7 linked regions of the Mus musculus genome follow. The protein of the gene in region 3 interacts with the protein of the main gene of each other region in a biochemical or structural test. Links are inferred from orthologs where the notes say so. Each region holds a gene or a part of one and is shown on either strand. Other genes may lie near its edges.

What was found.
Region 1: the proteins of Snta1 (region 3) and Mas1 interact in a test that uses a peptide from one of them, tested with the Homo sapiens proteins (2 studies listed by BioGRID and IntAct). The link is inferred for Mus musculus from reciprocal best matches to the Homo sapiens genes SNTA1 and MAS1.
Region 2: the proteins of Snta1 (region 3) and Adrb1 interact in a test that uses a peptide from one of them, tested with the Homo sapiens proteins (2 studies listed by BioGRID and IntAct). The link is inferred for Mus musculus from reciprocal best matches to the Homo sapiens genes SNTA1 and ADRB1.
Region 4: the proteins of Snta1 (region 3) and Kcnj4 interact in a test that uses a peptide from one of them, tested with the Homo sapiens proteins (2 studies listed by BioGRID and IntAct). The link is inferred for Mus musculus from reciprocal best matches to the Homo sapiens genes SNTA1 and KCNJ4.
Region 5: the proteins of Snta1 (region 3) and Adra1d interact in a test that uses a peptide from one of them, tested with the Homo sapiens proteins (2 studies listed by BioGRID and IntAct). The link is inferred for Mus musculus from reciprocal best matches to the Homo sapiens genes SNTA1 and ADRA1D.
Region 6: of the proteins of Snta1 (region 3) and Mapk12, one has a biochemical effect on the other in vitro, tested with the Homo sapiens proteins (2 studies listed by BioGRID and IntAct, with this or other methods). The link is inferred for Mus musculus from reciprocal best matches to the Homo sapiens genes SNTA1 and MAPK12.
Region 7: the proteins of Snta1 (region 3) and Mcm7 interact in a test that uses a peptide from one of them, tested with the Homo sapiens proteins (2 studies listed by BioGRID and IntAct). The link is inferred for Mus musculus from reciprocal best matches to the Homo sapiens genes SNTA1 and MCM7.

Annotation. Positions count from the first base shown.
Region 1 is NC_000083.6:12,865,334-12,869,361, forward strand, and holds the start of Mas1 (proto-oncogene Mas), read right to left. Parts: upstream 2,811-4,028; 5' UTR 2,766-2,810; intron 526-2,765; 5' UTR 411-525; intron 1-410. UniProt on the Homo sapiens protein: Receptor for angiotensin 1-7. Acts specifically as a functional antagonist of AGTR1 (angiotensin-2 type 1 receptor), although it up-regulates AGTR1 receptor levels.
Region 2 is NC_000085.6:56,720,772-56,724,960, forward strand, and holds the start of Adrb1 (beta-1 adrenergic receptor), read left to right. Parts: upstream 1-1,345; 5' UTR 1,346-1,600; coding exon 1,601-3,001; 3' UTR 3,002-4,189. UniProt on the Homo sapiens protein: Beta-adrenergic receptors mediate the catecholamine-induced activation of adenylate cyclase through the action of G proteins. This receptor binds epinephrine and norepinephrine with approximately equal affinity.
Region 3 is NC_000068.7:154,405,258-154,409,320, forward strand, and holds the start of Snta1 (alpha-1-syntrophin), read right to left. Parts: upstream 2,828-4,063; 5' UTR 2,715-2,827; coding exon 2,423-2,714; intron 1-2,422. UniProt on the Homo sapiens protein: Adapter protein that binds to and probably organizes the subcellular localization of a variety of membrane proteins. May link various receptors to the actin cytoskeleton and the extracellular matrix via the dystrophin glycoprotein complex.
Region 4 is NC_000081.6:79,502,432-79,506,702, reverse strand, and holds the start of Kcnj4 (inward rectifier potassium channel 4), read left to right. Parts: upstream 1-1,461; 5' UTR 1,462-1,507; intron 1,508-2,763; exon of another isoform or gene 2,764-2,788; intron 2,789-4,271. UniProt on the Homo sapiens protein: Inward rectifier potassium channels are characterized by a greater tendency to allow potassium to flow into the cell rather than out of it.
Region 5 is NC_000068.7:131,559,668-131,563,951, reverse strand, and holds the start of Adra1d (alpha-1D adrenergic receptor), read left to right. Parts: upstream 1-1,454; 5' UTR 1,455-1,783; coding exon 1,784-2,876; intron 2,877-4,284. UniProt on the Homo sapiens protein: This alpha-adrenergic receptor mediates its effect through the influx of extracellular calcium.
Region 6 is NC_000081.6:89,130,653-89,134,210, forward strand, and holds part of Mapk12 (mitogen-activated protein kinase 12), read right to left. Parts: intron 2,499-3,558; coding exon 2,427-2,498; exon of another isoform or gene 2,329-2,426; coding exon 2,249-2,328; coding exon of another isoform or gene 2,180-2,248; coding exon 2,101-2,179; exon of another isoform or gene 2,017-2,100; coding exon 1,843-2,016; exon of another isoform or gene 567-1,842; coding exon 487-566; 3' UTR 1-486. UniProt on the Homo sapiens protein: Serine/threonine kinase which acts as an essential component of the MAP kinase signal transduction pathway.
Region 7 is NC_000071.6:138,169,069-138,173,220, reverse strand, and holds the start of Mcm7 (DNA replication licensing factor MCM7), read left to right. Parts: upstream 1-1,337; 5' UTR 1,338-1,464; coding exon 1,465-1,495; intron 1,496-1,954; exon of another isoform or gene 1,955-2,411; intron 2,412-2,824; coding exon 2,825-2,904; intron 2,905-3,496; coding exon 3,497-3,661; intron 3,662-3,747; coding exon 3,748-3,872; intron 3,873-3,942; coding exon 3,943-4,123; intron 4,124-4,152. Other genes in the region: Ap4m1 (AP-4 complex subunit mu-1), read right to left, coding at 153-249, 328-434, 742-872, 973-1,030. UniProt on the Homo sapiens protein: Acts as a component of the MCM2-7 complex (MCM complex) which is the replicative helicase essential for 'once per cell cycle' DNA replication initiation and elongation in eukaryotic cells.

The sequences.
Region 1 (4,028 bases), on a different chromosome or scaffold from region 3:
ACGCTCTCCCACCCAGGCTCAGGTACCAGGGCTTGGTTGCCAGTTTTGGGATCCTGCAGCTTCTGATTTCTTGAAAAGATTAATCCATTGATGGGGTCGCATTTGAGGGCATTATTGGAAAGGGATGGAAGCATTAGAAGGTTGGCTTGGTTGAAGGAGGTAGGGTACTGGCGCTGGATCCCTCCTCCTGCCCTTTCCTCTTCAGCCTTCTCTCCCTGCTCCTTGTCTATCACAAAGCAGACATCTGTTCTGCCTTATCGTGGCCCCAAAGCAACATAGCAAAAGACTATAGGCTGACTGAAACCCTGGCACCAGGCCCAAGTGGATAATCCCCTCCTTTCCATTGTTTATTCTGTCATGATATCTTATAGACAATGCTTTTCCTTTTGAGACTGGCTTTTTCCACTTACCATGGTGTCTTCTAGTTCCATCTATGTTATAACATGTGTCTAAATCTCTCCCCTTTTCAATCTTGCGTGGGAAAAAAAATCACTTTCTGTCGATTCATTCTTCTGGGAATAGATCCTGAATTGTTGGAGGATATATTTTATAAAGTATCTTTACTTTTAGGTGACATATAACAGAATGCACTCCTGATACCAACTTCTGTCTTAGGGTTTTACTGCTGTGAACAGACACCATGACCAAGGCAGCTCTCATAAGGACAACATTTAATTGGAGCTGGCTTACAGGTTCAGAGGTTCAGTCCATTATCATCAAGGTGGGAACATGGCAGCATCCAAGTAGGCATGGGGCAGGAGGAGCTGAGAGTTCTACATCTTCATCTGAAGGCTGCTAGAAGACTGGTTTCCAAGCAGCTAGGATGAGGTCTACACCCACAGTGACACACCTACTCTGGACCAAGTATATACAAACAATCATACACATGTAGAGTATAGTGACACTTTAACACATTATGTATATCACCTCAGATGTATCTTCATGCTGGAAACAAGAATTCTCTCTTAGCTGTTTGAGAATATTTCATTGATTGCTGCCACGGTTAATATTGTCGATTTCATGGACATAGAGTCAGTAAAGAGACAAGGCCTCTGAGCATGCTGGGACTTTTGTAGATTAGGTTACTTGAGGTGGGAATACCCAGTCTAAATGTAGGTAGTCCTATCCCATATGCTGGGATCCTGGGCTACATCGAAACAGAAATGAGAGCTGAGCCCCCAGGGTTCATCTTTCTTTGCTTCCTGGCAGCCAGTGCTTCATGTCCGGCCTCCTCACAGTCCTGTCCCACCATGATACACTGTATCCCCAAACTATAAGCCAAGATAAACCACTTCTCTTGCAAGATGCTTTTGTCAGAGCAACAAGCTCATGATAGTTAGGCTGCCATCTTTTCTCAGAGCTCTGCATTATAGAATTAGAGGAGACATGTTTGCTGATCAAGCCCAGAAATCTCTCTCTTCCCTCATGATTTTCCAGAGCCTATGGAATCAATACCTGCTAGACATCACCAAAAGAAACCCAGAAGGCACTCTGCATGTATTTTTGGTCCTGAACTTTACAAGTGCCGAGGGATCCGCAGGCAACTCAAATGGCCACCAACTTCTGTAGAAGGAGCACTTATTAAAGGAACGTTAGCTGGCTCACCAATCTCCAGGAGGCAAAAAATAACCCAGGCTGTTGAGTTAGGTTGCCAACAACTGCATGAGCTAAAAGCGTGCGGCAGATTTAGCTCCACCAAGACGTGGCTGCTGCCTCCGTGAAGCAGAGTGAGTCAGCGGCCCTGCCACCCCTGGTCCCCTGCATGGTGCACTGGCCTCCGTCTTGCCATTGACACCCCCGTGCTAAAGATGTTTTCTGTGTCCCTGCTCCTTATGAACAGAGTACTTGAGCAAAATGAAGACTGCCTGGACAGCTGTGCCAAGGTCAGAAGCCCATGGCTAGCATGTGGGTAGAGGGTCAAGAAGAGACTCAGTGGGGAACGCCCTTCCCCCTCCTGCCACTCCAGACACAGAAAAAGTGACCAAAGGAGAGAGCCACCTCAGCTGTTGGTAACTTCTCTAGCTCTGTCTGTAATGGTGAGCAATAATTATCTAAACTACTTATATAGAGGTTTTGGGGAGGGAGGTCCCTACCTGGAGCCTCCTCCCTATAGGCCTCCAGTAGCTTTCCCCATTTTGTTCCACTCACAAAATCTGGATGTCTTATGTCCTCACCAATACTTGCATACACACACACACATGCATATATATATATATATATATATATATATATATAGTGTGTGTGTATGTATTTATGTGTGTGTCTGTGTGTGTGCATGCGTTTGTGTGCATGTGTTTATGTGTATGCCTGAGTGTGTATGTGTGTATTTATGTGTGCCTGAGTGTGTGTATGTATGTATGTATGTATGTGTGAGTATGTGTGTATGTATGTGTGTATGTGTATGAGTGTGTGTGTATATGTGTGAGTGTGTGTTTGTGTAACAGACATCGTGTGTGTGTGTGAGTGTGTGTGTGTGTGTGAGTGTGTGTGTGTGTGTGAGTGTGTGTGTGTGTGAGTGTGTGTGTGAGTGTGTGAGTGTGTGAGTGTGTGTGTGTGTGTGTGTGTGTGTGTGTGTGTGTGTGTGTATGTAACAGCCATCCTGACGGGTGGAAAGAGACACTGTTTGATAACTTTCAAGGCCCTCCTCCGCCTCACTTAAGTCTGTGTTCCTGAGGAGTGTGTGGAAAGCCCTTAAGGAGGGAGGCTAGTTGCCAGAGGAGCTGCATTAGAAGATAGGGAGTTTCATAGAGGGAGGTAGAGCTTACCTGCCTTTGCCAGGGATGTAACCAGGTGCATGTGTGTGACAATCTAAAGGAATGCAGCTTGGAATGCTGGGTAAAAGACACAGAGATTCTAAAAGCTTCTGTCCCTGCCCACATTCCTCACTTGAGCATCCCCATTGGCTGCTCTGAGGTTTAGCCTTACAATCAATAGGTACATGTAAGTTAACGTATCTGTAAGTCTTCTAATCACACTAACAAACTTGAAGAGGGACCCTGGCTTATGGGTTGTCCAGAATGAGTCTTCAAGCTGGAGTACACGAACTCCAGGAGGACCATGTCAGAACTGAATTATGATTATATGTAATTATATGGCATCAGGAGAGTGTCTGCACAGAGCAAACAAATCAGTTGGTGGGGGACCACACACACACACACACACACACACACACCACACACATCTGCCACGAGAAGTGACTAGTTTCCCTTCTCCAGGACTCCTTCCCCCTGCTCCCCACCCCCACCCCCCACCATCAGCCCCAAACCTCCAGGCCTGTCTTAAAATAAACACCCTATGCTTAGTCCTCCGTGAGAGACCACTGATATTTTTACAGACCCGCCTTGGAAGTTCCCAGAACACTTCTTCCACTGGCAGTACTTTTAACTTTGAAATTCTGCATTAAACTCGGGCTGGGTGGTGAGGTCTGTCAGACCACACTTCTCAGATAACACAGCCCCAGCCTCAGGCAACAAGAGCCTCTGAGAACAGAGCTACTTCAAAACCACCTCAAAAAATAGCATCCCTCCCTGGCCCTTGGGAAAATGCACAGGACTCTGCCAGAAGGCATCGAGAAGCCCCAGTGGGTTCCTTATTTGCTGGTGCCATCAAGTGGTAGGGTTTTCTTTTCTTTTCTTTTTGTTTGTTTTTTTTTTTTTTTAAATAAATGTTGCTTGGCAAGCTGTGTGATAGTTTATGCTCAGGTAAGCTCATATCATGAAACACTTGGTTTGGAGACTGGGACACAACTCAGCAATAGAGTGCTTACAAGGCAAGCATGTTTGGACCTCAGGCACCCAGGTTAACTATCTCTAATCCTGGCACTGGGAAGTACAAAAGAGAGACGATCCCTGGGGCTGGACAAGAAATGGCATAGCAAAGCAAGATGTTTATCCCTCAACTAGAAGAGATCAATGACATTCCACACTCGTGGGCAAGAACAGAGGAGTGTACTTGTCACTGTGAAACTGAGGGTAAAGGAGGATAATTGATAGGAGCTGTTATTATTATTTTTTTAAGTATTTACTTAT
Region 2 (4,189 bases), on a different chromosome or scaffold from region 3:
TTAATTACAGATTTCCTTTTTACGGCCTGAGGTAGAGGCATTCCCAGGGGTAGATCAGAGGACCTCAGCCCGAGGTCCCATCCTCTGTTCGCATCAGGAATGAAGCCAAAGACTCTAGTTTCGGATTCTCTCGACAATGTGAAGCGAGGAAATGTGGTATGACTTTAAATGCTTTCAGATTTAATCGCCTTGAGTATGTATATATTTTCTTCCCTCATCTTCCCAAAGCTAATCCCACAGTTTTGAGAATCTAGCCACCCTCCCAAGAAATCTGAAATCCCAGTTCATGACGTCAACCCAAAAGGGATAGCACCTTGTGTTGGCTCAGCTCAGATTGCAAAATCCCATGGGTAACGGAGCACAGATGCGGATGTTAAGGTGTTGGTACTGGAGTCAAAAAGTCTGAAGCGTCATTCTCCGTGTTCTTTCCACGAGGGGCGTGGGGGTGGGGCGACGTCATTTACCCTGGACTGAATGTTGCCCTAAACTTCTCCTTTATATTCAGAACTCTTTCATCCTTTTCTTTAGCTGGGACTGGGGCCTGTGTGTGTATCCGACTGGTCCTCGGTGTTGGCAGTTACATCCACAAACCTTCCCTTCCTTTCCCCATCTACTGCACTTGAAGGAGAGAGCACAGCTCCGCGCGAGAACAGCGCCCAGAGAGCCTTTCTGACAGATGCGTACCCTGCTCCAGCAACCCGCCTGGCTGCAAAGTTTCCTCTAATCACTAACACCCACTTCCTATTCCCCCAAGCTGTCATGCTGGCCAGGTCCCCTCGCGATCAGGGAAGAGCCAGGCTGCCTGATGGCAGAACCCCAGTCTCACAGCTAAATTCCTCCAATCCCAGCAGATAGGCTGTCCAAGGCACTCCTGCGTCTCCGAGACGCCTGTAAGGTTCTCTTATAGCTACCAGGAACCGGGCACTAGAGGCGAGGGAACTACGGGGTGCCGAAGGGAAATAAGGGCGCTCTTGCGGGAGCGGCAAAAGGAGAGCTGGGTGCTAAGGTTAACGGAGACTACTGGTTGGCGGGGGGCACAGGAGGCGGCGGGGCGCCGCAGGGGGCGCCGCAGACTAGACTCTGGAAGAAGCCTGAGCAGGAAAGGGCGCGCTCGCTGCAGCCCGTGGGTGCTGGCTGCGTAGTCCGCCCGCAATCTTTGGAGCCTTTCAATCGCGGGTAGGAGGGGGTGCTGGGTGTTGGGGGTGGGGGCACCATTGTCGGGGGCGTGCCTTGGCGGCGATTGGCTGCGGGAGCCTGACGCGCGGCCCCGGGGGCTGGCTGGGGGGGTGGCAGCGAAGGGGGGGGGGGAGGTGCTGGGTGTTGGAGCCGCCGGCCCCGCGCGCTCAGAAACATGCTGAGGTCCCGGCGGCTCTTCCAGCAGCGACAGCGGCTCCAGCAGCAGCGGCGGCGGCGGCGGCGGAGACAGCGCTCGGCTACGGAGGAGAAGGCGCCCGGCGTCCATGCCTCCGGCCCCGAGCCGCGGCTGCCCTGACCTGGCCGCGACCTCCCCGCGCGGGCCCCGCAGCCCCGGCTCCTGGGGTGCTCCCCAGGCGCGGCCCAGCCCCGCCACACCCCCCGCCCCCGGCCTCCGCAGCTCGGCATGGGCGCGGGGGCGCTCGCCCTGGGCGCCTCCGAACCCTGCAACCTGTCGTCCGCCGCGCCGCTGCCCGACGGTGCGGCCACCGCGGCGCGGCTGCTGGTGCTCGCGTCGCCTCCCGCCTCGCTGCTGCCTCCAGCCAGCGAGGGCTCAGCGCCGCTGTCGCAGCAGTGGACCGCGGGTATGGGCCTACTGCTGGCGCTCATCGTTCTGCTCATCGTGGTGGGTAACGTGCTGGTGATCGTGGCCATCGCCAAGACCCCGCGGCTGCAGACGCTCACCAACCTCTTCATCATGTCCCTGGCCAGCGCTGATCTGGTCATGGGATTGCTGGTGGTGCCTTTCGGGGCCACCATCGTGGTGTGGGGCCGCTGGGAGTACGGCTCCTTCTTCTGCGAGCTCTGGACTTCGGTAGATGTGCTGTGTGTGACGGCCAGCATTGAGACCCTGTGTGTCATCGCCCTGGACCGCTACCTCGCCATCACGTCGCCCTTTCGCTACCAGAGTTTGCTGACGCGCGCGCGAGCGCGGGCCCTCGTGTGCACAGTGTGGGCCATCTCGGCGTTGGTGTCCTTCCTGCCCATCCTCATGCACTGGTGGCGGGCCGAGAGCGACGAAGCGCGCCGCTGCTACAACGACCCCAAGTGCTGCGATTTCGTCACCAACAGGGCCTACGCCATCGCCTCGTCCGTCGTCTCCTTCTACGTGCCCCTGTGCATCATGGCCTTCGTGTACCTGCGGGTGTTCCGCGAGGCCCAAAAACAGGTAAAGAAGATCGACAGCTGCGAGCGCCGCTTCCTCGGCGGCCCAGCCCGGCCGCCCTCGCCTGAGCCCTCGCCGTCACCTGGGCCACCGCGCCCCGCAGACTCGCTGGCCAACGGGCGCTCCAGCAAGCGGCGGCCGTCGCGCCTCGTGGCTCTGCGCGAGCAGAAGGCGCTCAAGACACTGGGCATCATCATGGGTGTGTTCACGCTCTGCTGGCTGCCCTTCTTCCTGGCCAACGTGGTGAAGGCTTTCCACCGCGACCTGGTGCCGGATCGCCTCTTCGTCTTCTTCAACTGGCTGGGCTACGCCAACTCGGCCTTCAACCCCATCATCTACTGCCGCAGCCCCGACTTCCGCAAGGCTTTCCAGCGCCTGCTCTGCTGCGCGCGCCGGGCCGCCTGCAGACGCCGCGCAGCCCACGGGGACCGGCCGCGCGCCTCCGGCTGCCTGGCGAGAGCTGGGCCGCCGCCGTCCCCCGGAGCTCCCTCGGACGACGACGACGACGACGCCGGGACCACCCCACCGGCGCGCCTGCTGGAGCCCTGGACCGGCTGCAACGGCGGGACAACCACTGTGGACAGCGATTCGAGCCTGGACGAGCCGGGGCGCCAGGGCTTCTCCTCGGAGTCCAAGGTGTAGAGAGCCAGGCTCTCTGGGCGCACGGACGCCGCTCCCCATAGTCCCGGGCTGGACACGGGCTCTGCATCCCTAGAGGAAGAGAGCCCGCCTGGGCGCCCCTGAGCCGCTCCCCAGGGGAGAGAGGAGATCTCTGTTTACTCAAGACCGAAAGCAGGTGAATGCAAAGCCCACAGATCTATCGAATCATCCGAGACGTACAGAAAAGCCCCGGACCGAGCGTTTGCGCAAAAAGGAAAGTTTAGGAGGAGTTGGGAGAGTGTGGCTTAGTATGGCTTACTGGCTTGTCTTGAGTTCCTTTCTCTCTGAGGTTCGGCCTTTCGTGTGTTTAATGCACCTTCAGGCATTCCCCCCCCCCCCCGCCCCTAGGTGGGTTTTGACACTTTCTGCAAGGACCCGAGTGGAAACTAGGCGGGGAGGGGAGGGGGCAGGATGGAGTCTATCACCTGGCTTTCCGGTTCCACACCTAGGAACCTAAGTATTCAGCTCAGGTTTGGTGTGGGGGCGGGGCCGGTGATAATTAGCCAGGAAGTGTTTCCCTTTGCTTTCTAAAGAAATTGCATACTAATTCCGGAGTACTGGTGTCTCCTGTTCTTAAAGCAAAGGGAAAAGAAGGATGCGAAACAGACAAATCTGGTTTCGAGAAACTATGTGTGGAGCACGGTTCACCTTGCTTTCTCCTAGAGGGCAAACCTTGTGCCCTGCGCGCCTCGGTGGTCCTGCTGTGGGTCCTCTACCTCACTCTGTGCATATTGCACAGCAAGATAGAAAGACTTGTTTATATTAAACAGCTTATTTATGTATCAATACTAGTTGGAAGGACCAGGCGCTGAGTCTCTCTCTGTGACATGTGACTCTGTCAACTAAAGATAGGACAGAACAAAAAGGAAACAGTTGAGATTATTGCACATGTGGCTAAAAACAAAGACGGCAAAAAAAAAAAAAAAAGGCAGTGGTTGGAAGGCCATTTTGCACAGTGTTAGGCATTGTAAAATTCATAGAAGTTGTTAACTTGCACAAAAAAAATTAAATATTTTTACTGGGATGGGGAGGTGGGCAGATCTTTAAAAAGCTAAAATAAAATTCAAACTCAGTTTCTCTTGTCTATTATGTTATTGAGTTGATGGTTTATTGGGAAGTTACTTTTTATACTCTTATCATGGTACTGTAACTGTATCCATATTATAAATA
Region 3 (4,063 bases):
ACTGGCCTCGAACTCACTATGTCCAACAGGCTAATTCTGAAACTCAGAGAGATCCACCTGCCTCTGCCTCTGCCTCTGGGGTGCTAAGACTAAAGACATTTGCCACCACACCCAGACCAAATGTCTCTTTAAAATAGTCAGCTGGGCTGGGCATAGTGGTACTTGCTTGTAATCTCAGCACGGGGGTGGCAAAAAAATAAAGGATTACTGCACATTCAAGACCAGCCCTTTACAGTACAGACTACACAGCAAGACACAGTCTCCAAAAGACTCAAGTCAAACCCTTGAATATCATATTCCTGGCCCATCCTCAAAGTACTGATTGGTGGCACAGAGCAAGAGGTCATTGTCTCAAGGTTATATAAGTCCGTGACATTTGAGCCTGAACACCTCTCCCAACCCCCACCCAGGCCTGACAGTTGTTCATGGCACTGCACAAGGCTTGAGGCCTAAGAGAAGAAGGTGTTTCTATTTATATCTAGCCTCCCCCACCTAAAAGTAGGGACTTCAGTTCCATTTGAAGCTATGACCGTTCCCAGCTGCCTCGCAGACTCAGCTGGACCCCAGAAAAGAAGTTACCATGGCAACAGGAGCCCAGTCTTCAATCCAGGAAGAATTGAATGAAACTGTTACTTTCCCTAAAGTCCCATAAAAATGTCCTTCCAACACCTGGAAGTACAGATTTGAGTCGTGTCTCTGTACCATGGCAAGACCCTGCTCCTCTGAGAGTCGGTTTGTCTGTCACAAAGCAGAACTTTCTAGAACTCTAGTTCCTTCCTGCTCTGACACACTAAGTGTATTTTAATTGGTCTGTTTCCTGGACCTATCATCGAGTTTGGGATGAAAGTTGGTGCCTGCTCTCTGTTTTTCCATTCCCCCTTTAGCTGACTAGGAACGGTATGATTCCCTGGACAGTCTTTAGGGCAATAGTAGCTCTATAATTAAGATTTAAACCCTGGTTCTGCCATTCACTGACTGAACCCCAGGGAAATTATTTTTCTCTTCTGAGTCTCAGTTCTCTTACCTGCAAAAATGGAGATTGAGCTCACCACTGATGATTAAACTCACCTTTCACCACTGATGGTCAAGATGGAATAGACCATGAGCTAAATGTAGTGGCCACAACACCTAACATTCGCCACCATGCTTATCCCCTAACCTGGGCCAAAGGATCTAAGCGAGCTATCACACAAGCACCTCCCAGGAGGCCTGGGAGTATATGAATACTTTCAATCTGACGGACAGAGGGACAGAAATGATGAGTCTAGCGCTGGCTATGAACATAGATTTTTTTTTCCATTTTTTATTAGGTATTTAGCTCATTTACATTTCCAATGCTATACCAAAAGTCCCCCATACCCACCCACCCCTGAACATAGATTTTTAAGCACCGCGTTTAGTTGCTTTGAGAGTCCCTCCTGGCCTCTTTTTCTCTCACACATGCCGGCAAGCCCTGCTCTCAGAAACATCCTCATTGTAAAGTTACCAAAACAGACTCAGAAATGGGAAGTGACTTGTGGAAGTTCACAGTTCTAGAACTCCAATGGCAGCCTAAATGAGTTAGGGAAGGAGTCAGTCGGTAAAGTGCTTGCTTGGCATCTATAAAGCTCTAGGCTTGATCCCCAGCACAACATAAACCTATTTTAGCAGCAGAGCCCAGTAATCCCAACACTCTGGAGGTGGAAATAGGAAGATTATATTCAGTGTTCTCCTCTGCTACATAGTGACCATGTGTCTAGCCTGGCATACATGAGATTGAGATCATGCCAAACACTTGTCAGTCTTGGAAACTAAGAATTCTCAGGAAGGAATGGCAACTCTGGGTTCACTCTCTCCATGTACCTGTTCATGTACAAATGGGCAGATGAGGAGACTCAACCCTAGCCATCAGGACTCCCAGCATAGGCAAACAGCCTCTGAAGCCCAAGATGTCTAGGTCCTTACTGGCCCCTTCTCTGCTAATGCCTGTGCCTCCTACCCATCTCTGGCACCCACATTGGGCTCCCAGACTCCAGGCCTTTACCAGTCTGCCTAGGTTGTGTCTCATGACTTCCACCTCCTTCTTGTTCTAGCAGTGTCCCAGGCCTCAAGTCCCTTTCCTTTCACCGCCGCCCCCGCCCCTGTCAGTCTTCCCGGGGACCCTCCTGCCCTTGGTACCCATAGCTACCATTTTGCTTCAAAACAGAACTAAGCACCAATGTCCTTGGTGCGCCCCCCCATCCTTCCACACTTGTGTCTTCTGAGTCACCTGAACTCCCCAAGCCCCTTCCGACCTTGGTGCTCTTCCCTCACTCTGTTCCTTCCTCCCCCGGAGACTCCTTTCCGCCCTAGACAGGTTTTCGTTTACCAGCCCCCATGACCCCTGAGCGCTCCGCAGCAGCACAGACAACACGACCCCGTGCCCTGGGTGCCCCACACCTACCCTTGATGCTGATGCCCAGCCCGCCGGCGTCGGCCTTGCGCACCGTCACGCGGCGCCGCTGGAGCAGCAGCGCTTCTGGCAGCTGTGGGGGCGCCGCGCCGGGCTCAGCGGCGCCGTTGAGCTGCGCGGGCTCCGGCTCCGGGCCGGGCTCGCCGTCGGCGGGACTCACGGTCAGCGCGTCCTCCGCCAGAGAGAGCAACACCCGCTGCCACCGCTCGCCACCCGCCCCGGAGCCCGCCCCGCAGCGCAGTTCCAGCAACCCGGTGCGCGGAGCGCGCCTGCCTGACGCCATCTTCGCCTCGAAGTCCCAGTACACTGCGCTCGCCCGGTCCCGCCGTACCCGGCCCGCTCCGACCCAGCGCCCAGGGCAGAGGGCGGCGGGGCAGCAGAGCCAGTCGCCACCCTACCCCGGCCTCGGGGGCGGAGCTTCGGAGGACAGGCTGTCGGGGGCGGGGCTAACGGGGGCGGGGCCCCGGGAGTGACTGAAGAGACGCTACCCGGTAAACTAAAGATGTGCAGCGGGATCACTTGGGAGTGGGTCAGAACCGCGTTCCCTCACGGCCACAGTTAGAGGAGGTTGAGGGTGGGGCGCTCTGCGGAACATAAAGGGGCCGGATTCTATGGATGGGGCAACACAAGGATCCAGTTCTGTGCGCCGTCGAGGATTGGACCGTAGCTCGTGGAAGCTGAAGGACAAGAAAAAGAATCAAGGATCCTGGGGTAGGGCTGCCTGTGTCAGGACCATAGGCTCCAGGGACTTTGCAGACAGAGTTAACTGGCAAACGAGCTAAGGAAGATGGTTTCTCACGTTTTGTGAGCCATGGGGAGAGGGTACCAGTAACAGTCTGTGGGCCTGACTCAGCTTAAGGGTGCAGCCTCTAAAGAGGTAAGCCTACCCACCCACCAGGAGGAGAAATGCCACTCCTTTGAGGGTTTGGTCCCATCACTTGAAGGTAGAGGCTGAAGGGTCTGCAAGTTTGAGTCCAGTCTAGGCTACATGAGACCCTGCCTTTAAAAAATAAAAATAAAAGTGAAAAGACATAAAGAGATAGAAGGCTCAGCGGTTAAGAGCATGGGCTGAAAAAAAAAAAAAAAAAAAAAAAAGCCGGGCGTGGTGGTACACGCCTTTAATCCCAGCACTTGGGAGGCAGAGGCAGGCGGATTTCTGAGTTTGAGGCCAGCCTGGTCTACAGAGTGAGTTTCGGGACAGCCAGGGCTACACAGAGAAACCCTGTCTCAAAAAACCAGAAGAGAGAGAGAGAAAGAGAGAGAGAGCATGGGCTGCTCTTACAGTGGAGCAGAGTAAAATTCACAGCATGCACATTGGGCAGCTCACAACCACTTGTAACTCCAGCTCCATGGAGATCTGACACCACTAGTTTCCTTGGGAACCTGTATTCACATTGCAAACAAGTACACCCATGCACACAAAAATAGTGAAAATAAATAAAATGACATATGATTTTATATATATATATATATATATATATATATATATATATATATGCAATACATGTATGTCACTTATTCTGTGTTTGCATGACACATGAGCTGGCTGATCTATGCTATCATTTGTGCCTTGGGTAAACCCTGCATAACTGAGACACATGAGTACTAAAAGCAGACCTCTCTTCTAACCTG
Region 4 (4,271 bases), on a different chromosome or scaffold from region 3:
GCTGCTCTGGCAGAGTACCCAAGTTCAGTTCCCAGCGCCCACATGTCACTTCACAGCTGCCTATAATTCTAGTTGCACGGAACCTGACAACTTCTTCTGGCTTTCACAGGCTCCTGCCCACATGTAGCACACATGCACGCACATGGGCATCTGTACATGCATGGTGCACATACGGACACACACAGGCATCTGCACACATAGACATAAATAAAAAAGGAAAGACAGATTAGTAAGATGAGAAGAAAACAGGGACTAGGGTTTGTTGACTTCCACTCCACTGGGTGGCCTTTTGCGAACTTTTGGACGTCTGTGGGTCCTCAGTTTCTCCTTTGTGAACTGAAGCCTTACTGATAGACTGTGCCACTATTAGGGTTCTTCCAAAAGAACGACCTCTGTCTCCTGAAGTGGGGGTGCTTAGGGCCCTTAGCTGCTAGAGCTTCGGGAGAGGATGCAGACCACCCAGGAGAGGGTCAGGGCCACCGGGACCCCCACAGGACTGGTTCCCACCTACCCTCCTCTGGGCTCGGAGAACCCTCCCCACCTGTCCCCAGGGGCCTCGCAAATCCGGGAGTGGATCCTCCTTGGAACGGATCCTCCAGTAGGAGTGCGGCGGGGCGAGGAGGAAAACCCGGGCAGGATCCGCGCGAGAACCGGACGGCGCAGCCTTCCCCCCCCCCCCCCCCCCGTCCCCGACCCCCGACTCCTGCTGGAGTCCTGGGTCCCGGGCGCTAGTGGCCTGCCCGCGTGGGTCAGACGCACCAGGAGGGCCGGGGTGGGGTCCGCCTGGGGCTGGCAGCCGGGGCGCGCTGCCTCCGCAGCGGGGCGCGGGTCACGTGTGAGGAGGGGCGAAAGTCTCCGAAGCGGGGCGCGTGCTGCGAGTTGGGAGTTCTCGGCGCGCCGCGGGCGGCGGGAGCTCAGGCTCCCGGGCGAGCCGGGGACGCGGCGGGGACCGGGTCCCAGACGGAGGGGGCGGCGGCGGGAGTGGGAGGGACGCAGACAGAGAAGGACACAGCCGGCCGAGGAGGCGGCGCGGGGCGAGGCTGAGCCCGGGCAGGGGCCGGAGCGCGGCGACCAGGTGCCACGGCCCCGCGGGAGGAGAGGCGGCACCGGGGCACAGCGGCGGGGACCTTGTGGCAGGCGCGAGGTGGCCACAGAGCCAGGAGACCCCAGAACTGAACAACGAGAGGGTCGTGGGGCTGTGGGTAACAGCGGGCAGTGGGGCGCCTTGGGCCCCTGGACCCCTCGACCCGAGCCCGGGCTCCACGATGCTGCCGCCCGGGCGGCGCCCAGCTCTTGACGCGGGGCAACGCTGAAAGTTACGCAGGGAGCGGCGCGGGACAGCGCGGAGACCCCGAGACCCACAGAGGCCGCCTGGGTCAGTGGCGACATCGCGGGCAGGCGGCGCCCGCGTCCCAAGCCCGGCGCCCCGGACTCCGCCCGCCGGACTGCGCCGGGGGATGTAGCGGACACTCGCCGCCCAGACCCTCCTCGGACCTTACGCCCCGGGGTAAGCTCGGGCTCGTCCATCGCGAGTACTCTTCGTCCGTCTGTCCGTCCCAATGTCTGTCTAGCTCAGAGAGTTGTTTGTCCTGCCGCTCTGGCCATACCCGTCCTGCACTTATCCATCAGACCCGATTCCTGAAGGGTCCCAGTGTGGACCTGTGACTTCCCCCAAGCTGGCGCGCTCCGTTTATTTGGCCATCAGAGCGTCTCCTGTGGGTTGTGGCTGGCAATAGAAGGGAGATGGATGACAGAGATTTGACCTCCTGCCCTGGCGACGGCCCTTCTCTGCCCCCGCCCACCTCCATGCCAGGAGCTGCGAGGCAGGTGACTTGCAGCAAGGTGGGAAGGGGGCGTCTCAGCTTCCCACCACCCACCTGCAGTCTCCGTGAATGGTTCGGAGTATGACAGAAATCTCCCTTCTGCTGTGTTAAGCACCTGCCTTGTGCCAGATAACCCCAGGGTAGGTGAGCCGGTAGTAGCTGAAGGAATGAGGTAACAGTAAATGGAGCATTTCGGGGATTAGAGTGGTGGAAACTAAGGCTGTAGAGAGAGGGGCAAAGATGCTTTTTCTTCTGCAAAGGGGAAACAGCAAAGAGTCATGCCGTGGGCTCTAAGCAAGGAGAACTTCACCACCACCTGCAGAATGCCCACTAACCAGGTCAGCCTACTACTGCCCCCCCCTCCCCCACAAACTATGCAAGGGGACTCAGACTTCAGGGCAGGGAGCTGTAGACCAGCTTGGCAGGCAGCAGTGCCCTCTAGGCACCACACAGGGTGGCTGGGCTGCCCTAACAGGGAGGGCCTCAAGAGGGGGAGAGCTCCAAGTAGTAGGCTGAAGGACCTAGGGACCAGACGAGGTGTCTAGCCCTGGACAGAGAAGGGCTGGATCCAGGGATCCAATATTCACTCCACCCCCACTCCCATCCATCCCTGCACCTTGCAGGACTGCTAGGAGTCCAGAGCCATGTGTAGCCTTGACTTGGCTTCTGAGGGGAGCAAGTGGAGAAACAGGACAGTTAGGGCAAGTGGAGCGGGAGGACTGAGCCTGGAACATTCTGCTCTGCCCTCCTATGGAAGAAGGGTCTCTTTCTGAAGTTTTCCATACTGGGCATCAAGGCTCGTATATCCCTTGGTCCAGGCTTCAGAAATGAGACCAGCTAGTTGAGACACTGGGCAAGTTATGCTCCTTGAGCCTCTGCCAGCACATCTGTGGAATGGGGACACCAGACCTGCCCCACTGACCTCCAATGCAGGGCCTTTGAGCTCTGTGAGCAGAAGACTCTTGGTAGGCTGAAGAGAGGGGTGGGCAGATGGGGGTGGGGGTAAGAACTCAGTTTACTTTGAGGGAAAATAAGTAGTTACCAGTGGCAAGAATATGGCTGGAAATGCAGACTGACAGTAATGGAGGTGTCTAGGCATAAGTGGGGGGACCTGGGACTTGGGCGCTGTACCTAATGTTACGCTTAAAGAAACATCTTCCTAGGGGAAAAAAAATAGAGGTGACTGGCCAGACAGAAATGTCCGCGGGCTCCCACTGGGGTGACCTTGGGCAGTTAGCTTGACTTCTCTGAGTCACAGTTTGTACCAGTGGAGAATGGGACTTCATGTCATTGTCACTGGCTTGCATACAGTGTCAGGGCCCTGGGAAAAGCTTGCAGAGCCAAACCATGCAGGTTCTAAAGAGACATTTGTGGATCGGAGGACAAAGTCACTCTAGGATGCTGTGGGAAGATTTTGGGGCTTAGGATGAGAGGGAGGGGGAGGAGGAACTGTGTGGGCTTACACAGGGCGGGCTGGTTCTTAATGTGGATCTGGGGGAGGCGGGGGCGAGTGCTGAGGGGGGTGTGAGGAGGAGGGGGCCCCCTCTGCGGGGACCACTGAGTCACGAGGACATGTAAGCGACATGACAACCAGCAACGTGGTAACCAGGAAACAAGCAATGGGAACGAAGCTGGAGCAGTGTGTCGTGGTGGGGGAGGGCAGACTGGCAGCACCCAGGCTTGGAGGGTCCGTGGTGGGTTAGGCTGGTCGGCCTGCAGGGGGTGCGGGCCAAATAGGCTGGGTAAGAACGGAAGTGTAAGAAGTGACAGGAAGCACCCAGGGGCTCAGCGGGGCAGGGGGCTTCTCTGGTCCCTCCCCGCTCTTCTTTTCCTCCACATCCCCACTCTTCATGCCTCTCCCCCTAGGATGCCAAATTTGGCTCACGCAATCTGTCGTCTCTCTTCTGAGATTGGCACGGGGATGGAAGCCGAGTGCATTACATCAGCGCCTGATCCCCCTGCACTGGGGGAGGGAGGGGAAGAACCGAAGACCGACCAGGCCAGGCTGGGATTGGAAGGGCAGCAGCCAGACTTCAACTTCCCTGCTTGTCTCCTGTTTGCTCTTCTTACCCTAATCTTAGATGTAGGGGGAGTTTGGGAAAGGCCATGACGAACTTAGAGGTGGGACCAGGACTCCAACTTTGGGGAGGTTCCATGACTTGGGCAGGAACCAGTCAAGCCCTGTTGCTGTCTCCCTGGCTAATTGGGACCAAAGAGTTCTCAGGACTTGGTGTGTCATTGCCTGGCCATGTGACCTTGGGCAGATTCCCCTTGCGTAGTAGAGTCTACATGTGTATAGTGAATGTTGGCCGCTTTGTAGTATTGGTGACTCCCCTGAGAGGAGCCACGTTGGCTCTCCAGGGCCCCGGGATGGATCCTGTGACCTTGAACAGCAACTTCTCTCCTTATGCCTCCATCTCCTCACCTGTGAAATGGGTATGTTCAAGG
Region 5 (4,284 bases), about 23 Mb from region 3:
CAGTGTGTGTATAAGTCATACTTTGCCTGCCAAGGGCTCAGCTCTTGTGGATCGAGTTCAGTGAATGGTCTGCAGGATGGGAGAAGAAGAAAGCTCATGTCACAACACAACTGAGGCTTTCATTGCTTCTACCATCCCACCATCTGCAACAAGGAATAAACCAGGCACCAAGGACATGCACATGACATTTTCAGAGCATCCTCCCGCATCTCTATGGCCTCGCTTCCATAAGCCAAGTCAAGGAAAGGAAGAAATGATGAAGAATGAAAGGTAGTGTTTTGAAGATGTATTTGTGCCTGCACTTGTGTGTGTGTGTGCTCGCGCACATCATGTGTGTGCCTACATGAGTTTATGTGCACCATGTAAGTACAGTTGCCTGAGGAGGCCAGTTTATGTGCACCATGTAAGTACAGTTGCCTGGGGTGGTCCAGTGGCATTGTGTCTCTCCCTATTGGTCCTCCTCCCTCCCTTCTCTTTCCCTTGCGTCCCTGCTTCCTAGCACAGCCCCGTCCCCTCTCCCCTCTGTTCTTCGTGTTCAGGCTTTACCCCACTATTCTCCACTCTTCTGAGAAGTATGGGCACTACTTTGGTGGCGCTGCTAACACAGTGAATCTTACTCTCGTTTTCACATGTGGGGAACCGAGGCACAAGACGCCGGAGCCTGAATGGTGGAGGCAAGCTACTCTGCTCCCTCCCTGTTAAGCACCCTGCAGTAACCTTTCCCACCCTCCAGAACGTGACCTTTTCTGCCCAGAGGGAGTCCCGAGTACTTCGAGTAGCAACAGGAAGATTTATTCTGACTTCTGATGCAGAGTAGAGTTGCAGGGCCAAAGTTGGTATTATTCAGAGTACGGGCAAAGTCCTAGGGCTGTGACCACACCATCTGGTCTCACGCCAGTCACGCCCATCTTCAACCCGCGCCCAAGCATCTTGACCCCTTCAGGGCTGTCTCAATGCCACCATCGCACCATAGTGGGTTTTGAGATCTTGGGCTGGCCAGTTGCCCTAGAAAAAAGAGGAGGGGCATCAAACCGCATCCAGACGTTCTCAAGTGGCAGCGTTTTTTTTAAATCATCCAGCCCTGAACCCACAGATCCTGGGCTCTTGCTGCTCTCTGGCGGCAGAAGCCGGGAGCCCGGAGTCCCGGGGAATCGCACCTTGTATGCTCCGCTAGGGCAAGGGCAAGCAGAGAGTGACCGCAAGTCCAGAGAGAGGAAGGGAGGCAGCGAGGAGCGCTGGGGCAAAAGCCGGGGTGCAGGAGAGCTGAGGAAAGGAGGATAAGGGGACAGCTAGGGCAGAGGACGGTCGTGAGCACCGGCGAGGACCCCCGCAGCCGCTGGACGCGCGGAGCCCCTTCGCTGGCTCGCGCCGGCCGCCCCCTCCTCCCTCCCCGCCGCCCCTCCTCCGTCCCGCCCCCGCGCAGAGTCCCCTGCGCTGCAGAGGCCGCCGCCTGCACTGACGCTCCCGGAGGAGCCACCGCTCGCCAGGACACGCTTGGAGAGGGGAGCAGGGAGCAGGGAGCCGGCCCCGGCCCTTGTTTTCTTGTGACTCTGCAGCCACCGCCAGAGCCCGTTCCCGTTGGGACCTTCACGGCCTGGTGACCTCCGCCCCGCTCTCCCTGCAGCACCGCTCCCCTGCGGCCCCTCTGCCGCGGGAACTTGGGCAGGACCGACGGGACCGGCGCGCGGGGCTGGCTCGGGCGCTGCGGCGATGCCCGCGGGCTCCCTCCCCGCCACTTGCTCGCCCTGTGCCTGGGCTCGGGCCCCGACGGCTGCGCCGTGAGATGACTTTCCGCGACATCCTGAGCGTCACTTTCGAAGGACCCCGGGCGAGCAGTAGCACTGGGGGCTCCGGCGCGGGCGGCGGAGCTGGCACGGTTGGCCCCGAGGGTCCGGCGGTGGGCGGCGTGCCGGGTGCCACAGGCGGTAGCGCTGTGGTGGGAACCGGCAGCGGCGAGGACAACCAGAGCTCCACGGCAGAAGCGGGGGCCGCGGCAAGCGGCGAGGTGAATGGCTCGGCGGCCGTCGGGGGGCTAGTGGTGAGTGCTCAGGGCGTGGGAGTGGGTGTCTTCCTAGCCGCCTTCATCCTCACCGCTGTGGCGGGCAACCTTCTCGTCATCCTCTCCGTGGCCTGCAACCGCCACTTGCAGACGGTCACCAACTATTTCATCGTGAACCTAGCAGTGGCTGACCTGCTACTGAGTGCAGCTGTGTTGCCCTTCTCAGCCACTATGGAGGTTCTAGGCTTCTGGGCCTTCGGCCGGACCTTCTGCGACGTATGGGCCGCGGTGGACGTGCTATGCTGCACTGCCTCCATCCTTAGCCTCTGCACCATCTCTGTGGACCGGTACGTGGGTGTGCGCCACTCGCTCAAGTATCCAGCCATTATGACAGAACGCAAGGCCGCTGCCATTCTGGCTCTGCTCTGGGCGGTGGCCTTGGTGGTATCTGTGGGACCGCTACTAGGTTGGAAGGAACCAGTGCCCCCGGATGAGCGTTTCTGCGGCATCACCGAGGAGGTGGGCTATGCGATCTTCTCTTCCGTATGCTCCTTCTACCTCCCCATGGCAGTGATCGTGGTCATGTACTGCCGCGTGTATGTGGTCGCGCGCAGCACCACGCGCAGCCTCGAGGCGGGCATCAAGAGGGAGCCGGGCAAGGCCTCTGAGGTGGTTCTGAGGATCCACTGTCGCGGCGCAGCCACTAGCGCCAAAGGAAATCCAGGGACACAGAGTAGCAAGGGGCACACCTTGCGCAGCTCGCTCTCCGTAAGGCTGCTCAAGTTTTCCCGCGAGAAAAAGGCTGCCAAGACCCTAGCCATCGTCGTGGGTGTCTTCGTCCTGTGCTGGTTCCCCTTTTTCTTCGTCCTGCCTCTGGGTGAGTGATTCCCTCACTTTAGACCCTTCCCCTCTGGGCGGTCCTTACCTGGAAAGCTTAGATGACCCACAACCTAACTGTGGAAGTTTATCAACTTCCTGTTCTCTTACTAGAGAGAGAGAGAGCGCGCCCGAGGGGTTCTTGATACTAATGTGTTTTCCCTTAAACAGGCTTCTCACTCTTTCTTACCCTTTGTAGATGTTACAAACCTCGGTCTTGCTTTAGTTCCTTGGAAATCTGAGCAAACATCAATCTGTATGATGTGATCAGTGTGTGTGATCCCCATAGATACCCATCTCTGGAAATAGATTGTGGGTGAGCCCACATGCATTCACTGGCAGCAGACCCAAGCCAGCCAGCCACCTTGTAGCTCAGCAGATGCCAGAAGTGCTGTGTTCTCCATAGACATCCATTTCAGTTGGCCCCACTGGTATCTGGGAGAACCCTGTGGGCTTTCCCTTCTGAAATCTTCTCTGGAAGAGGTTAGAGGAGGGGACTTGTGGGGGTGGGAAGGACAGGATAGGAAGTCTGTCAGGTGGACAATTACTATTGTTTATAGTCATTTACAGAGTGAACTAGTTCCCTTACAAGGGCCCTGCAGTCCTGGGGCAGGTACAACTGCTCTCAAGGGATTCTTCGCACCCCCTGAGCCTCTCTGAAGGTCCTGGAGCAGGGCCCAAGGGCCAGAACCAGCTCAGAGAGGAGAAAGGGGCAGCCTGTCTCAGGCTTATGACTGCAACCTCTCCTGGTGCAACCAGGGCCTCTCCTCCCTTTCCCCCATCTGACTGCTTGAACCTGTGAGACAAAGTCAGGGGAAGAAACAATGACCTGCCTCCTGATCCACTGCAAGTCTCTCACCTACACACACACACACACACACACCAGCAGGAGCAGCAGCAGCAGCCACAGTGACTTTTGTATATCGTAACTCGGTTGTGTGACCCTTCTACAAGTCCCTGAATGTTCTCATACTACTTGGGAACAAAATCCAAAAACTGCCTTCCATAGTCTACAGAAGGTAGCCTTCAAGGTTATTATTGTCCATACCGAAATAGGTCACTATTTAGTATTTACAGTAGGACCATGGGCATGAACTGAAGGAATCCCCAACAGATGTCCTCCCCATCTGAAAGGGGCTATTCCAGGAAGGGCTGCCTCTCTCTGTCCTGCCCTGACCCTCAGTGGGTTAGTTCCAGGCCAAGCCTGTCACCAACCTCTGTTCTTCCCTTTGATTATTTCAGTCTGGACTGGCCCCAAACCTCTTACCTAATTCCAAACCTGGGGGTCTCTACTTATATGCCCCTTTGGCTTGTGTTTCACACCTTCACTGGCTTTCCAGCTTTTCCTTTCAACTGTATGGTCACTGAACCCAGAACAGCACCCAGGACGGTGCCTGGCATATGAGGAC
Region 6 (3,558 bases), on a different chromosome or scaffold from region 3:
CAGGCTAAGGGTGTAAGAGAATCCACCCACTTCCAGAAGAGATGATGTCCCTGAGTCAGTGTCCCCAAAACCTCTGTCTCATTCCGTCTCAGGAGTTGGCCTTGGCATTGTCCAGAGCGAGCAGAGCTCAGGTCTGGCACTTGTCTCCTAAGCTCTGCTCACTCTGAAGCTTTTTCACGAATACTGATTTCATGTACAACTCCAGAATTCAAAGGCTAGTCCCATGTTGGGTAGGGGTCTTGGACAGAAAGCTTAGATGTTCTTCCAGGGTCATCTGGGGCACTCGAAAGCCGAAGAACAGGTTTGGAGATGGAGGGTTCATGATTCAAGGGTCTACACAGCATGTCCAGGTGGAAGACTTGGGATACAAGCTCCAGGCACTGTCGGGGTGTTAACCAGGATTCCTTTTCCAGAGAAGGGAAGCCAAGGTGCCGTGAAGCTCCGAGCCAACCTCCTTTGGATACCCCCCAAACCACCCAGAGGTCGTCACAGAGCCGTCTCCTTTGGAACTCTGGCTCCTAGCTGCCTAGGAGGCTTGAAGCTGAGAACTTCCTTGTAAGTCACACCTGCGGGAAGCGAAGAGAAGCAAACGATAGAGTTAGACAGCTTTCAACTAAGGGGGGAAGCCAGCACCCCATGGGCCTTAAATCTAATCCTAAGTGGGCCAATCCACTTAAAAACACTGAAGACTGCTGTGAAGCTAGATTGCCCCAGGAAAACAAGGGATGAAAGTGTATGTTCAAAAGAAAAAAAGGGGGGGTTGTGTTCAAAAAATAATAATAATAAGAGAGAGAGGCTTGTATTAAAAAAAAAAGGAAGTGAGAAGAAAGTGTGTGAGCCTGCTCAAGGGCTCAGTTGTGTGCCTCCTGTGGTCTATGGTGAAAGCAAAAGCACCCAGCCACAGTGTGTAGATGGAGACCACAGAACGGATCTTGTGGCCCGTGGTTAGGGGAGTTATTTTGTTGAGCAGCAGAAGGATTTCATCACACAGAACCAAACTCATAAGCACACGACAACACAGAAGGGAAGAACACCTGCCAGGACTTTCAGGACATGAGTCAAGAACCTCTACCCATCCAGTCTTTCCCATACCAGGGTGCAAGAACAAGGGCCTGGGGTCTGAGGCAGACAAGACAAGGGATAGCATGTCGCAATGGACCTGTCCTCAAACCTCCTGGCTCCCCAGGTTGGACCTGTCAGTCTGGCAAGGACACGGGAGGCTAGTCCCAGCTCAGGGGACAGTAGGCAAACTGAGAGAGTTCTCTGAGGCCAGTTCTCAAAGAGAGAATTGGAGGTTTGGCACAGAGCTATGGAGGGATCTAGGGCTAGAGATGAGAGGGAAAAGCTGGGCCCTTTGGCCTGCATGGGAATAGACTGTCTTCCATGGGCAGTACATAAGATATAGTTATTTCAGGAGAGGTCTTTAAATGGAGTAAGGAGAGGTAAGGATACATTTTAAAGGTGTAAGAAGAAAGTCATAAGGACCGGCAGTGGTAGAGAGAGCTCCAGTGTGGTCTGGACATGAGGATGCTAGGCAATATAGAGGTTGGGGAGAGAACGGCCAGGGAGTTAGTAAGCCAAGGGCACAAAGCACACACACCTGCTCCACAGTTCTCAGCATCCATCACCTGCCAGCCCTTGTGGGTCGGAGCTCCTTCAAAAGACACTCTTTACCACTGCCTTCCCCCCTAGCCAGAAGTCAACCTGGTTGAGTTGCACTGCCCCACAATGCCCTTTGACCTCCCAAAGCTCTTATCTGACCTGCACCCCAGGGGCAGAGGCTCACTCACCCAGGGCACACAGGGTCCAAAGCCAGACATTGTATGGAACCCCCACACTCACGCTTCCATTCCTCAAGGGTGCGGTCTACATCATCAAAGGAGTCGTCATATTTCTGGGCCTTGGGTTCATCCTCAGTGTCCCGAAGGGACTCAAAGTATGGATGGGTTAACGCCTCAGCTGCTGTCACCCGCTGTTCCGCATCCAGCACCAGCATCCTTTCCAGGAGATTCACAGCTGTGGGAAGAGCAATTCAGGCCAAGCCACAGGAGGGGACATACTCACCCAGTACCCTGAGACCTTCACCCCATCCAGCGGTACCCTGAGGGCTTGCGTTGGTCAGGACAGAGGCAAAATCCTTCTTTTCTAACTCAGGGAGGCCTTCCATGTAGTTCTTGGCCTGTGAGGGAAAAAGGGTGATAGGCCAGCCCCCAAGCCCAAGTCCAGCCCACCACCCACTCCCACTGACCTCTGCACTCTGTAGCTTCTGAACAAACTCAGGAGGGGGCGTCCCTGTGATCTTCATGATCTCCTTCAGCTGGTCCAGGTCTGTACCAAGGTCAGGAATACAATGCAGGGACAGAGGGGGGCCCACCCAGCACCCACATCTTGGCCGAAGTCAACGGGTGCTCTACATAGAAGGATACGGTCATTGCCTTTGAACAGGATCTTCCCAGTAATCATCTCCGCCATGATGCAGCCAACGGACCAAATGTCCACTGAGAAGTCCCATCAGTGCCCCACATGCAAGGGTGGCATTCATATCCGTGAAGGCCAAGAAAAGGGGGATGCACAAAGAGACCACACGTGGGAGACAAGTATACATGAAGGGGAGACGTGCACATAGGCACAGAGCAGAGGCTGTCATTGAGAAGGGTGGCAGACCTCCCAGAGGTAGTGCCTATAAATGGCTCCCTATCCAGAGATGAAGGGAGCTAGAGGTGGCTAATCAGTTAACATCATGGGATGCTATTCCAGAAACCTTGGTTTGGTTTCCAGCATCTGCATGACAGCTCACAGCCATCTGTGACTCCACTCCTAGAGAATCCAATGCCGCCTTCTGGCCTCTGCAGGCACCGAGTACACAGGTGGTGTATGGATACATGTATCTGCATGTATAGATACATGCAGATACGTACTTATATATACATAAAATAAGTTCTTATAAAAATTAAGAGCCGGGCTGTGGTGGCGCACGCCTTTGATCCCAGCACTTGGGAGGCAGAGGCAGGCAGATTTCGGAGTTCGAGGCCAGCCTGGTCTACAGAGTGAGTTCCAGGACAGCCAGGGATACACAGAGAAACCCTGTCTCGGAAAAAAAAAAAATTAAGAAGGGGCCAGACATGGTAATACAGCCTTTAATTCCCAGCTCTTAACAGACAGAAGCAGGTAGATCTCTATGGATTCAAGGCCAGTCTGGTCTGCCCATTGAATTCCAGGCCAGTCAGGACTATAAAGGATCTATACAGGAAAAAAGAAAGAAAGGAAGGAAGGAAGGAAGGAAGGAAGGAAGGAAGGTAGGTAAAAAGAAAGAGAGGGGGGAAGGAAGGAAGGAAGGAAGGAAGGAAGGAAGGAAGGAAGGAAGGAAGGAGGCAGAGGCAAGTGGATCTCTGTGAGTTCGAGGCCAGCCTGGCCTACAGAGAGTTCCAGAAATAGCCAGAGCTATATAGTAAGACCCTGTCTTCAAAGCAACCAAACCATACCAAATATACATATACATACATACACATATATATTCTTTCTCAAAAAGAAGGAAGGAAGGAAGGAGAGAAAGAAAGA
Region 7 (4,152 bases), on a different chromosome or scaffold from region 3:
ATGGTGGATCTATATTGGATTTAGCAGATTCTACAACAAGTAGAAGATACCTGATCTCCACACATGTGCAGTGATGTGGGCAAATACACACACACACACACACACACACGTGAATAAATAAACTTAAAAAGACCAAAGTTTTTGGGCTTTACCAGCACTTCATCCAGGAGTTCGTAGACAAGCGCCACATTGCGTGAGATGGTTCCCTCATTGAGTGAGCCACAGTAGTCACCCAAGAGAGTGGCTAGCCTAAGGAAACACAGCAAATTATGTGTGAATAAACCTCACACGCCCTCCTTCTTAAGTGCCTGTCCCAACTCTACTCACCGGGAAAGCAGCTCCAGAAGGCTGAAAGGAGAGACGTTTTCTAAGGTTGTGGCCACCAAATAGAGCCCACTGTGTCTGATGTGAATAAAATGACGATCACCGTGATACTGAGGCAGAGTTGAGGACAGAGGCCATTAAGAAAAGACCAGAATTGTAGTAAGGAAACCTGCAAGATGGCACCCTGAGGTCTACTAGTGATGGGCGATGCCCCAGATCTAAGACCTGGCCGCCTAACGTGGAAAGGTAGTATCTACCTCTCAAAGTTGTTGATAGTCAAAAAATAGGGTGCATGGCTCTGTAACTGGCTTCTTGTTAGTACTCAAAACATTTATAAACAAATCCTCCCCACACACACACCCCCGCCCCCAAGCTTCCTACCAAGCTGCCCTTGACAGGGAGGAGGCACTCACCCACCTCCACAGTTCTAAGGCCCTGCACACCAACCACAGTAGTTACCATGACAACCGGGGACTCGCCTCCAGGCAGTCCCGTCAGCTTCCGGTAGAAGAGCTCTGCCACATCACGACCACCACTGTCCCCGCGGACTAGCCAGGTGGAAAGATAGTTAAGGAACAGGCGACACAGACTGATCTGGATTCGATTTCTACCCAGCTACCCTACCCCGTCTCCCGGGTCAAAGGATACAGTCTTTATAGATGAGCGGATCCCCCTTGGAAGACAGAATGAAGAACTGGGAAATCATGGCGGTTCTGGAGGATAGACGAGAACACGGTGAAAGTTGAACCCACCCCGCCTTGTGGACGCGGAACAAAAGGCCGCACGGAGGCTGGCGCTTTAAGAAACACTCCTCCCACACACACACTCGCGAGCATTAATTTCGAACCGCGGGAAACAGGGTGTCCAACCCGCCAGGATCTGGCAATCTTTCAACGGCCCGCCCTCAAGCCCCTTGTCATTCAATCTAGACTCGTCCATTGATTGGTTAAAGTTAGGGGCTGGCAGCAGTTGGGAACCCCCTATCTGATTGGCGGGTTCTCAGCCGCACGGGTCACATGGGTGACGACGTTTCGCGCCAATTTCGGTTGGCCGGCTACGTCCCGCCGCGCGTTCGTTTTCTGCTTCCCCAGAGAGAGATTTTTGAGCCCTTCAAGTCCTGCCACACCGTCCCCGGCAGCGATGGCGCTTAAGGACTACGCGATCGAAAAAGGTGAAGATCTATAGGGCTGGGGGCGGCGTCCTCGGAGGGAAACTTCTACCTGCACCTGTTGAGGGGTGCTGGAGTCTTGGGGTCGGGCGGGGGAGGGGGAGTGAGCCGGGATCTGTGACTCCGAGGACAGGCGAACTGCGCCTGCAATAAGCAGTGGGCGTCAAGGATGGAGGAAGCAATCCTCCTTGGAAAAGGTGATGTGTTTGTGTTATGGAGAGAACCCAGTGGAGTCCACAAAGGAGGGGCGCGCTCGGTAGAGACCGGGTGACTTGGTTCAATGCATTCAATACGTGACCCAAGGGACTAGGTTACTGGGCCAGCCTCTGCTGCTCGGGGCGCTAGCGAATTCCCGCGTCCACTGGAGACTGGCCGAAGTCCAGAGGCGGGGCTTGCCAGACCGCTACGCGCCGCGATTGGTTGTTTTCGGCCGCCCTCCAAGCGGAAGTAGAGGCGGGCGGAAGTGGCGCTACCCGATCTTGGGACTGTCGTGTGTAAACAGTGTCCTTCCGCGCGGTGGCCTCGGAGATAGCTGCAGTAGGTAGGGGCGTGCCTAGAATTGGGAGGCTAAGCGCCCGGTGGCGAAAGGTGGCAGTGTGGTGGACCCGAATGGCCCTTTGGCGTTCTGGCCAATCCCCGCTCGGCCACCCGTCTCGGGCGGAGGAATCCTGGGCTGTGAGGCGGCTGGAATCTGGGCCCATGTGCTTCTTTGTTTACTAAGAGCGGAAGCAGTGGCGGGAGCCGGGCATGAGTGCAGAGGAGGCCTAGTGGCGGACGTCCTGGCGGGAGCCTAAGAAAAAGAGTTGTACTGGTAGAGCGAGAGCCGAGGACCTTAAGTCGATTGGGAGCGAGCTGAGAGAATTGAAGAAACTGAGATTCCTAATTAAGACAGAGTGTGGAATTCTCTTGGGAAGGTTGGGTAAGACTCTTGTAGCTGCCCGAAGACCTATATTCTTCTCTGTGTAAAAACGGACTTGTGAAAAGGAACACTGCCTACTTTGGGGAGAACTTGGTCGATTTGTTTTCAATGTTCATTTAACTAACTAGTTCATAGGTTTCGTCTTAAGTGAAAGTGGGTTTCTTAGGTTTCTGTTAAGAGTTTGAAATAAAGAATCTAAAAGGAAAGTTGATTGTTTATTTTATTTATTTTTACATTATTTTGTTACATTATTGTGTGTGTGAGATCGCACGGGCATATCATAGTGCTGGACACCCGCAGGACTCTGTTCTCTTCCAACCTGTGGGTGGGCCCTAGGGATTGAACTCTAGTCCTTGGCAGCAGTGGTCTTTACACCTCACTGCAAAGACTTGGTTTTTATTTTATATTTGTAGAAAAAGTTAAGAAGTTCCTCCAAGAGTTTTATTACGAGAATGAGCTTGGAAAGAAGCAGTTCAAGTATGGGACCCAGTTGGTAAGTCTCAGGATTGGTTCTGGGGAGTGGCGTGGCGTGTTAAGAACTTGTATAAGGTTATCTCAAGTCTGGCTATCAGTGAATGACTTGATTCTGATTGTTTTTATACAAAGTTGGGTTTTTGTTTTGTTTTTAGCTTAAGGGTTTTCTTAGATGTTTTAGTCGTGTTTATTCCTATGTGTTTGTGCTCACAGGGGCATGCCATAGCATGTGTAGAGGTCAAAAGGACAATTTGTGGAAGTCTGTTCTCCCACCATGTGTGTTCTAGAGAGCAAATTCAGATCATCTGGCTAGATGGCTATGTCTAACCTGCTGAGCCACCTCATCCATTCCTAGCTCTTAGTTTTTAGGGGTAGTCTTTGTGTGGCTCAGACCACCATCAAGAACACGCTGTGTAGCTACATAGCTGAGGTTGGCTTTGAGCTCCTCACTCTGTTGCCTTCTGAATCCTAAGTGCTGGGATTATAGACATCTACCACCATGATGTACTGCATTCTGTTCTTTCCCCAGTGGTAGGATAGTGACTTTAGAAGAGCTTTTGTGGGTGAGGTGAACTTGACCCTAAAGTGTTAGCATCTCTTCTTTACCTCAGGTTCATCTGGCTCATCGGGAACAAGTGGCACTGTATGTGGACCTGGATGACATAGCTGAAGATGACCCTGAGTTGGTCGACTCAATTTGCGAGAATGCCAAGCGCTACTCAAGACTGTTTGGTGATGTTGTGCAAGAGCTTTTGCCTGAGTACAAGGAGAAGGAGGTAGGTGGCTGGTTTGTTTCTGAGCTCGTCTGCCTCGTGCCCTGTTTTCTTTCTCTGTCCTGCCTCTCGCCTTTTCTTTCTTTTAGGTGGTGAATAAGGATGTCTTAGATGTTTACATTGAACACCGGCTGATGATGGAGCAGCGAAGCAGAGACCCTGGGGCAGTCCGGAACCCCCAAAACCAGTATCCTTCTGAACTCATGCGAAGATTGTGAGTATCTCTGTGGGAAAGGGCGGGGACTTGCTCTCCGGGGACTTGCTGACAAATGTTTCTCTTTTAGTGAGTTGTATTTCCGAGGCCCAAGTAGCAGCAAGCCTCGAGTGATCCGGGAAGTACGAGCTGACTCTGTGGGGAAATTGTTAACTGTGCGTGGCATTGTCACTCGTGTGTCTGAAGTCAAGCCCAGGATGGTGGTGGCCACATACACTTGTGATCAGTGTGGGGCAGAGACCTACCAGCCAGTACGTATACAATTCTATGATGGTGATTT